3 linked regions of the Daphnia pulex genome follow. The protein of the gene in region 2 purifies or fractionates together with the protein of the main gene of each other region. This does not show direct contact. Links are inferred from orthologs where the notes say so. Each region holds a gene or a part of one and is shown on either strand. Other genes may lie near its edges.

Evidence for each region.
Region 1: the proteins of eukaryotic initiation factor 4A-III (region 2) and regulator of nonsense transcripts 1-like purify together in Homo sapiens (co-immunoprecipitation; 8 studies listed by BioGRID and IntAct, with this or other methods). This does not show direct contact. The link is inferred for Daphnia pulex from reciprocal best matches to the Homo sapiens genes EIF4A3 and UPF1.
Region 3: the proteins of eukaryotic initiation factor 4A-III (region 2) and nuclear cap-binding protein subunit 2-like purify together in Homo sapiens (co-immunoprecipitation; 3 studies listed by BioGRID and IntAct, with this or other methods). This does not show direct contact. The link is inferred for Daphnia pulex from reciprocal best matches to the Homo sapiens genes EIF4A3 and NCBP2.

Annotation. Positions count from the first base shown.
Region 1 is NC_060017.1:7,852,863-7,855,934, reverse strand, and holds the end of regulator of nonsense transcripts 1-like, read left to right. Parts: coding exon 1-454; intron 455-517; coding exon 518-877; intron 878-973; coding exon 974-1,411; intron 1,412-1,477; coding exon 1,478-1,663; intron 1,664-1,739; coding exon 1,740-1,748; 3' UTR 1,749-2,531; downstream 2,532-3,072. Other genes in the region: parafibromin-like, read right to left, coding at 2,994-3,030. UniProt on the Homo sapiens protein: RNA-dependent helicase required for nonsense-mediated decay (NMD) of aberrant mRNAs containing premature stop codons and modulates the expression level of normal mRNAs.
Region 2 is NC_060018.1:3,384,284-3,387,922, forward strand, and holds eukaryotic initiation factor 4A-III, read right to left. Parts: upstream 2,519-3,639; 5' UTR 2,389-2,518; coding exon 2,241-2,388; intron 2,134-2,240; coding exon 1,931-2,133; intron 1,876-1,930; coding exon 1,743-1,875; intron 1,679-1,742; coding exon 1,545-1,678; intron 1,490-1,544; coding exon 1,401-1,489; intron 1,344-1,400; coding exon 1,205-1,343; intron 1,142-1,204; coding exon 1,026-1,141; intron 963-1,025; coding exon 727-962; intron 661-726; coding exon 644-660; 3' UTR 519-643; downstream 1-518. Other genes in the region: ATP synthase mitochondrial F1 complex assembly factor 2-like, read right to left, coding at 1-139; 39S ribosomal protein L35, mitochondrial-like, read left to right, coding at 2,776-2,999, 3,055-3,162, 3,214-3,442. UniProt on the Homo sapiens protein: ATP-dependent RNA helicase. Involved in pre-mRNA splicing as component of the spliceosome. Core component of the splicing-dependent multiprotein exon junction complex (EJC) deposited at splice junctions on mRNAs.
Region 3 is NC_060026.1:16,276,782-16,279,597, reverse strand, and holds nuclear cap-binding protein subunit 2-like, read right to left. Parts: upstream 1,693-2,816; 5' UTR 1,497-1,692; coding exon 1,458-1,496; intron 1,313-1,457; coding exon 1,226-1,312; intron 1,166-1,225; coding exon 1,071-1,165; intron 1,007-1,070; coding exon 868-1,006; intron 810-867; coding exon 711-809; 3' UTR 614-710; downstream 1-613. Other genes in the region: hsp70-binding protein 1-like, read left to right, coding at 2,049-2,334, 2,399-2,620, 2,681-2,816. UniProt on the Homo sapiens protein: Component of the cap-binding complex (CBC), which binds co-transcriptionally to the 5' cap of pre-mRNAs and is involved in various processes such as pre-mRNA splicing, translation regulation, nonsense-mediated mRNA decay, RNA-mediated gene silencing (RNAi) by microRNAs (miRNAs) and mRNA export.

The sequences.
Region 1 (3,072 bases), on a different chromosome or scaffold from region 2:
AGTGGTGATGTGTAAACCAGCTGCCAAAGCTGGTCTCTCGCAATCACTGTTTGAAAGACTGGTAGTACTTGGCATCCGGCCCTTCCGTTTGGAAGTACAGTACCGTATGCACCCAAGGTTGTCCGAGTTTCCTTCCAACTTCTTTTACGAGGGATCACTACAGAATGGTGTTTGCGCGGAAGACCGAATCCTTCGCGGGGTAGATTTCCCTTGGCCAATGCCAGATAGGCCCATGTTCTTCTACGTTACATTGGGTCAGGAGGAAATTGCTGGATCGGGTACGTCCTATTTGAACAGAACGGAAGCGTCAAATGTGGAAAAGATTGCTACACGTTTTCTTCGATCCGGAGTCAAACCAGAACAAATTGGCATCATCACACCGTACGAAGGACAAAGAGCTTATCTTGTACAGTACATGCAACATCAAGGATCACTACATGCTAAATTATACCAAGTAAGGGAATTCATATTTCAAAACCTTTTACGAAATCTTTAAATTTGTATTTTGTTTTTGAAGGATATCGAAATAGCTAGTGTAGATGCTTTCCAGGGTCGCGAGAAAGACCTCATCATCATGTCGTGTGTTCGCTCAAACGAGAACCAAGGAATCGGTTTTCTCAACGATCCCCGTCGTTTGAACGTTGCTATGACTCGCGCCCGTTACGGAATCATTATTGTAGGCAATCCTAAAGTGTTGGCCAAGCAGCCTGTATGGAATCACCTGCTTCACTTTTACAAAGAAAATCATGTTCTAACTGAGGGAGCTCTCAACAACCTCAAAGAATCCATGATGCAGTTTCCCAAGCCAAAGAAACCAATTAATAGTTTTAATCCTGGTCAGCATTTCATGTCCACAGCCGTCTACGACGCACGCCAGGTATGTTCGTATTCACAAAAGAATTATTTCAAATTATGTAGTGCTTGTCTGTCAAGGATCTTGTATTCTATTTTAAAATAATCTTATCATTTAAAGGCCATGGTTCCTGGTTCCGTCTATGATCGTTCGGGTGGGGGTCAACCACCAAACAACAATGGTATGAATACTTACATACCTCGAGCCACGGCCAATGTTGGAGATCCGTACAGCCGTTTGCACGATCCAATCGGTTACATTGCTCCAGAGAGGGCACAGGCCGCTCTTTCTGCTATGCCCGTTCCCTTGGGTGTCTTTATGAACATGACGCACGTCCCGCCTAGATTCCACGGCCAGCAGCAACAAGGGATGCATGGTTCATCCAAATCCAATCAGAGGCCAAAAGACAATGCCCGAGGAAGTGGGCCTCGCGCTGGCAAAGCCGCAAGCAAGGGAAGTTCTTCGCTGTTTACACAGTCACTTTCGCAGAATACACAGGATGTATCAACGCAGCCTTTCAGCCAGGGTGGCATGGCTCTCACCCAAGGAATGTCACAGGTACTAAATAATGCCAAGTTGAAAGGGTCGCGAAGGTATGCTTATCCATTTTAAATGTTCTTGTAGGGGATGTCGCAGACGGTCTCGGGCTTCGGAGCACTATCGCAATCGGGTCTATCCCAGTTAGATCCGTCACAAGACGCCTATATGTCATCAGATTATCAGTCGCAAATGGATGGACTGCTCTCTCAAGACTCGACGTATCAAGGGGGCCGTTCAGCCTTCTTCCGCCATGGCTCTCAATTCACGCAGGTAGGTTGATGAAGCGAATTTGTCTTACTCTTTGATTGAGCCTGTTGTTTTCAATCTAATGCCGACCTTTTCTTAGCCATACTGAAAACTGTAAGGCGTTGCAGTAATAAAAAAGACCCTAAGAAAATTGACGATGACGACGCCTGGCGGCAGCCGACCGTATTTGAATTCATCTTGCAGTTAAAGATAAAAGAGAAAAGGGGAAATCCAACGTTCATCAACTGACAGCTCGAAAGACCTATGCCCATCTATCAAATGGCCTTCAACGTCGCACACCATAAGCAGCACTAGCAATCTGCCGTTGAAGCAAGAGAGCGGTGTCCAGACGAACGAGCCGATAACGGAGCTGATGGGCTTCAACAAATTAATGTCGAAAAATACGGGAAACAACTGCTATACCCATACCATCCAACATAGTGGACCCTACCTAAGTCTGTTTCTAGTGGGTTGGAAGCCAACACAAAATCCCTTCGACAAACGACGTTTTTTTTTCGATAGAACGTCACCCAAAATTAGAATGCTTCTTTTGTAGGCCCCTCAGTTGATAACGCGTTCGAAGCTTAGTGAACTGATTTTTTTGAATTGTTTATTTCTCTTGACTTGTTTTCTCTCCAGTCGACCAATGCTTTCTCTGTTTCCTTTCACGCTCTTCAGCTTTCTTCACCTTATGCTTTTACATGCAAGTTTAGTTGTCCATTCATTTCGCGAGGATTAGTGTTGGGTTACTGGATGTTCTCACTTTGCTGTTGCCGAGCCCTTTAATAGCGCTCTTTTGTAGGAAGCAATTTCACATCGTGCGTTTTCTTTCCATCTTGACGGAGAAAATCAGATGGAAAGAAGATCAGAATACACTTTGTTTCACGGGAAATCATCGAGTGCGTTCTTTCTTTTAAATATTCAAGCTAACTCTGTTGTGCATAAAAAAATGACTGATATTTTTGTTTGGCAATCAACTACATAGTTATGAAACATTGTCTTCGTCTTCTCAGTGTTGCCAATGAAATTCTGATGATCCTGTAAGCAATTTCCAACTCAGCTGAAGGCTGGTGAGATCCACTTTACCACTAGGAATATATTCTTTAAAAGTGTCCTCGGCGTCTGCCATTTAGTTCCAGCCTATCACCAAAAACAACAATCCTTAAAAAATTTTAACACCAATTGGATAAGAAAGAGCCTTAAAATTGGATTAGTATTTTGATTGGATGTGAACAGGTCCGTGTATCACAAAATCAAAATTAAAGACATTACAGAAGGTGCCAACAAATTTTCGAAAGATAACGCGTATTAGTAAGAAAGATTTTGATACCCCATAACTCGTTGAAAGTGATGCTCAAAATCGAAGATGTTGTTTGTTTTTTAACATGTGCCTGGATAAAATAGAAAATATTTATGCAAGGAGAATAAAAGAC
Region 2 (3,639 bases):
TGGATCGACTAGTAACACCGTTTCCAGCTCCTATTTGATTATTACCAAGTATTCTCAATAAATTAGAAGTGCCGGAGCCAAAACGTATTAAATTATTAGTTGAAAAAGACATTGTTGACGAGGTGACAAATGATTTCATCACCCACCAACAAGCAACAACCGGGTGCTTCGAACTGTAGCAGACCAAAACTGTTTTCAAACAGAAAAAAGGAAATGTGGGGTACTGGGTTTCAGCAACCAAGTTTTCAGCTAGTTTCTAGCTTTTGTTCAGCTACTAGAGATACAACAAATCTAACTTTGTAATTGGAATTTGGAACGTCCTTCAAATACTGGTTTCGAATTGTCGCAAGTATTTTCAAAGTGAGTAAAAAAAATCAACATGCCTTATTATAAATACTGTGTCATAACTCATAAGTCAATAAGTCATAACTCATGAGCAAAAGGTTCATATATTACTTCAGATCTACGAGTAAAGTAGACGTCATTTTTAGACTCCAACAATGGAACAAGACAATTAATTAAACGGCCACAAGTTTCATATATTTAGTCCAAATCTTCGGGGATACAGAAAAAAAAAATCCAGCAAAATAAAAACATGACGCATCAACTTCTTTGTTTTCCTTTTTCCGAAATGGATTATAGATTAAATGAGGTCAGCCACTGAAATTGATTAAAAACAAACACATTTAGAAAGAGTTAAAAAAAAACATGCTAAAAATATTTTACCATTCATGGGCATTTCGTCAACCTGTGTAGCATAGTACTGTTCGATATCGCGGAGAATACGGATATCGTCATTCTTGACAAAGTTAATTGCAACACCTTTACGTCCGAATCGGCCAGAACGACCGATACGATGGATGTACAACTCACGGTTGTTAGGGAGATCGTAGTTAATGACCAACGAAACTTGTTGAACATCAATACCACGAGCCCAAACGTCAGTTGTAATAAGAACTCGGCTAGAATAAACGAATAATTGTTATTACTCTGAATGGTTATATGGTAGACGAAAATTTCAATACCTCTGACCATTACGGAATTCTTTCATAATAGTATCACGCTCTTTTTGAGGCATGTCTCCGTGCATTGAAGAAACGGTAAAATTCGCTTCACGCATTTTCTCCGTCAACCAGTCAACCTAAAATCAATCTAACTGTGTTACATCGAAATCAACAATAGAAGAGATTTAATCGTGACTAACCTTGCGTTTAGTATTACAAAAAATAACCGCCTGCGTGATTGTCAGTGTGTCGTACAGATCGCACAACGTGTCAAACTTCCATTCTTCTCTTTCGACAGCGACAAAGAACTGTTTGATTCCTTCGAGTGTCAACTCATCACTAAACCACATAAAATAATTAGTAATAAAAAACAAGCAGACTTTTAACAACGTTTACCGTTTGACTAAAATGCGAATGGGATCTGTCATGAATTTGCTGGTCATCTCCAAGATTTCATGAGGCAATGTGGCTGAAAGAAGAACCACCTTGAATAAAAGATTGATTTAATTGGTTTTTCTTATGAAATATCATAAAACATACTTGGGTTGCTGGAGGAAGGTAACGGTAGACATCGTAAATTTGCTCCTTGAACCCTTTATTTAACATTTCATCGGCTTCATCCAGGACCAACATTTTAATTGAACGTGTCCTTAGTGTACGTCGGCGAATCATATCTGTAGAGTTATCAAGACACTTATCATCAATCCAAACTTAACAAACAGAAATAGCAAAATATACCAAATACACGTCCAGGGGTTCCAGAAACAATGTGCTGACCGTAGTCCAATTTTCGAACATCCTCTCCAACATTAGTGCCGCCGATACACGCATGGCATTGAACATTCATGTAATCACCAAGAGCCAGAATAACCTAAACACAAGCTAAATGAAAACACTGTACTACAGAAAGTAATGCCATAACATACTTTCTGAATTTGAACTGCCAACTCTCGAGTGGGGCTTAGAACCAATATTTGAGTTTCTCTTGTTTGAATTTCAAGACTCTGAAGAATTGAAATTGAAAATGTGGCTGTTTTGCCAGTACCGGATTGGGCTTGGGCAATAACGTCTCTCCCCTTGATTACTGGGGCAATTGCTCTCTGCTGAATAGCTGATGGTTTTTCAAATCCTATAGAAACATTTAAAGCCAACCTCAACATTAAAAATCATGTAGGTTAAGGATAATGTGAATAATGGAGCAAGGTCTCAACAAGTGAAAGTCTCATTTGTACGTACCATAAGCGTAAATTCCTCTTAGCAGGTCTTCACGGAGGCCCATGCTGTCAAATGTGGGAATAACATTGACATCTTCACTCGTTTCAAATTCAATATTAGTTAAATCATCCGGCATCTGTTGGACAACACGTCTGCCTTTAGACTCCATTTTTTTAGAAATCAGAAGTGTGAAAAAGCACGATAGTTCGTGAATAATTAGTTTGCGTCCGTTCGGCAAGGGTGAAAGGATGCTATAGAATGAATGTTACAGACGTTAAAATCGCTTCAACATGGAGTCAACTGTGTTGCCAAATTTTCATACTCATGGTTTCAAAGCAAAAATTTACAACTTAAAAGTAATGATTCATGATCCACTAAAATTTGAAACTAATTTAATTTTTAATTTAATAAAAATCAATGAAAGTTGCTAAAAACCTTTTAAAGACCTGGCCTTTGTAATTTGTATATCGATATCGTGCATGAAAAGATTCAATTAAGCAGACGAACGAACACTGAAAATAATTTTCTCCCGATTCAAGAAAAATAAAAATCTAAAATGTTTACTTTGAAAAACGTTATTCAATCGGCTTTTCGATTGGCGAATTATTCACCAATTTCTAAAAATGTCGTTTCAGTCAAAGCAAAAATTTTGCTGCCTAGCACATCAAGGTTTTTTTCGGGTTCGTCAGAATCAACTTTTCGGTGTGTCCAATACCCTTCCATGAATGCTACCCCAAGTATATTATCATCTATTTCCCCATTGCTTCAAAATCTGTCATTGTAAGCAAGAATTTAAATTTTATTAAGCACACAAATTAAGCTTACTTTCTTGCAGAACTACTCCCTCTTTGCAGCAAACCCGATCAGTTACAAAATGGTCACTCAAAAAAGGGAAGCGCAAAACAGTTAAAGCTGTTGTTTCTAGGTTCTATCGTTTAGGATGGTAATATATTTTATTCATTCCTGGTTATTTATATTCATTATGTTTTCTTAGGGGTGCATGGATAAGGCCAATGGTGGGACACAGTAAACGTCACTGGAGCAAAACAGCAAAAAGGAAGATTCGGGGTGAAAAGCATGTATTTTGTAATGCTACCCAGTCAACTCTTCTTGACAAAATGGTAACGAAATACTGGAGAAAGAGACGGTTTTACGTTGATGACATGTACGAGTCGTATCATCAGCGAGAAGAGTATCCATCAAGTGCTGTTAAACCTCATTGAGGTCTATAATTAATACTAGTTCAAATACATTCAAATAATGGAAAAGGAAATTTATTGTATTTATTTCATTCCAATGTTAAAAAATATTGGTTGTACAAATATCTTAACCATATTTAACTTGAACTGAAATGTATTACTGAAGTGTTATCTTTGAGTACATGAACAGAAGAAATTTGAAAAACTGTTACATAATATCA
Region 3 (2,816 bases), on a different chromosome or scaffold from region 2:
CGGCGGAGCACGCGGATCGGCACGCGGACATGAATGCTTCCAGCGGCTGCAGCAGTGGGAGAGAACTCGATTGCCGTCGCCCAGAAATATTCAAACAGCCAACACCAGATACACACACACTCACTCAGTACAATTTTCCTGGTAGTTCAGATGCACGTTGAATGTCACGTCAAGCACATTCTTTCTTCGAACGATAAATAAGTTAGTTTTAATTTGGAATAACTAAACAACTACCGAGCAATCAGAAATCGATACCATTTCCATTTTGGAAATCATCTAATTGATCAATGATCATTGAATTAGCTTCACATTTGACACAAATTCAATTGTGACATTCGTTATAAGTTGCAGACGACCACTGGGAATTGAATATTCAAATATTTCTTTGCATGTAGATGATGGCGTGCATCACGCGGCCGCAAAAGCTCTTCTGGGAAACTACCCGCTTCGCTTTGAAAAGGAAAAAGCTTTGGGAGTGACAGATCACATGGCAAGAGATTCTAGTGTCCCCACTTTTCGATCGATAAAATCCAGGCCAACCGGACTGGCAGATGGAAACATGACGAGAAACGTCTTCTTTCACAGGTAAAAAAGATTTTGTTTAGGAAATCAATTCAGCATGGTCTGTTTTAATTGAGGATAACACTTGTTGACATTTGTTAAAAAAAAAAACACACAGAGATGAATGAATACAGTATTTAGAAATGTTATCAATTGTTAGCAGCAGCAGATGTGGCCACCTTCTGCTGAATCATTTTGCCCCATCCTCCTCTGCCACCATCAAAGTCAGTTCGGTATTCATCTCTCACCTGCAAAACAGAAATCCATTAGTTGAGAACAATAAGTTTGAGCTGACGAAATGCTGACCTGTCCTCCAGTTTTGCCTCTGCCATATTGCCTTCCTTCAATGAAGCCAGCATCCCAGTCAGTTCTCACAATTCTGTCATCCAGTCTTGTCCCATTCACAAACCTGATGGCATTTTCTGAATCATTCCTCAGGTAAAACCTTGAAAGATAATTAGAAATAATTAAACACAATTTTGTTATTGGATTTGGTTGCAATGACTTACTCTACAAAACAAAATCCACAAGGGGTCCTAGTAAACTTGTCCAATCCCATGATGATTCTCTTGACATCGCCACATTTCCCAAACAATTCATGGATCTAAAATATTTGAAAAGATGAAATCAAATGGAACCAATTGTTGACTTGGAAGTATTTAACCTGTTCTTCAGTTGTGTAAAAGGACAAGTTTCCAACATACAGGGTGCAAGATTGACTCAACAGACGCTCCTGCTCTACCCGGGAACCCTGAAAGATGGAAATCAGTTATTTTGGCTTGAAATATCAAAATATTTTTAATTATTAAGGTATGCATTTCCATTTAAACATTAATTGCCTCAAAACTGTATATTAAGTTACATTTTCAATTCTGCTATCAACTCATGAGGCTTACTTTGAAATGTTGGTCTCGGTATGTGCTTGGAACCGCCATTTCTACGAATTATTTCGGGAGAACCAATCACACCGTTCACCCCAGTGTCTTCCGAATTAAGTGTCCTTGTATTCAGCCAATCAACCGGCTAAACTTTATGCGTTTTAAATTACTAAAATTGGTGTGGTTTTTTTCTAAAAAAAAGTGTGCGTTGACACAACAAACCTGACGCGAGTGACTTTCGAAAAGATGCTTATGGCGGCCGCTAGGTTACGTCACTTGCTAGAAACCCATTCCGGCGTTAAACTACAATTAAAAACCAAATAAAAATATGACACACTTTCGCAGATTTTTTCAATAATTTTTTAAAATCTCAATGAATTTTATCCAAATCTTAATTAACTTAACAGGTTTGTTTTGTAAATGTCAAAATTTTTTAAGTTATGCGAGTCATGCCTAGATGGCTCTTTTTATTCCAGACTCTTCTTGATTTTGCTAGTAAACAGTTTCATTGACGTCTGCTTGCCCCATGCGTTCACGGTTTAACTTGCGTACTGCGTCTTATTCTTCATAAATATATAACAAGTTGTTGTTGAGATCCTTAGCAAAACAATGGAACCCCCACGACAACCAAGAGATATGCAAGGACTTTTAAGATTTGCCATCGAAGGCACCGCAGCTGAAGATCGTACCACAACCACATCGATGAGTGAAGAAAGGAGACGCTGGTTAGAAGAAGCTCTAAGAGGATTGTCAGTCGACGTTGTAGCCGAAATATCAAAATCGTTAAATATCCTCAATCCAGATCGAGTCGAAAGTCCTGAAGAAGATCCCCAGGAGATGGAGGAAGCATTGGAAATGATTACTGACTTTGCCGATTCCATGGACACGGCTAATGGTATGAGATATCTTTTTTTATTGATTGAATAAAACATTGACACTTGTTTCGCTTGTTTCTCCAGACTTTCACAAGATAGGAGGATTTTTCATCCTCATCCCCTGTTTGAATTCTCCCCACGATGGAGTTCGTTGGAGGTGCTGTCAGTTGATTGGCACCCTCACCCAGAACAACCCATACTGCCAACAGCATGTGCTCAACGAAGACCTATTGCCAATTTTGCTTAAAATGCTGGAAAACGATGACTGTGAAGAGGCGAGAATCAAAGCCCTGTACGCCATTTCATGTAATGAGCAGATTTACAACTCACACTAAGGGAATTCAGTTAACAATTGATTGATTATAGGTTTGACAAGAGAATGTGCAGAAGCCCAGGATGCATTTGTGCATTGTGATGGTTTCTCGTCTTTACTGAGAGCACTGCAATCATCACTCGGGAAACTGAAAATCAAGGCTTCATTCTTGTTGACTTGTTTATGCAA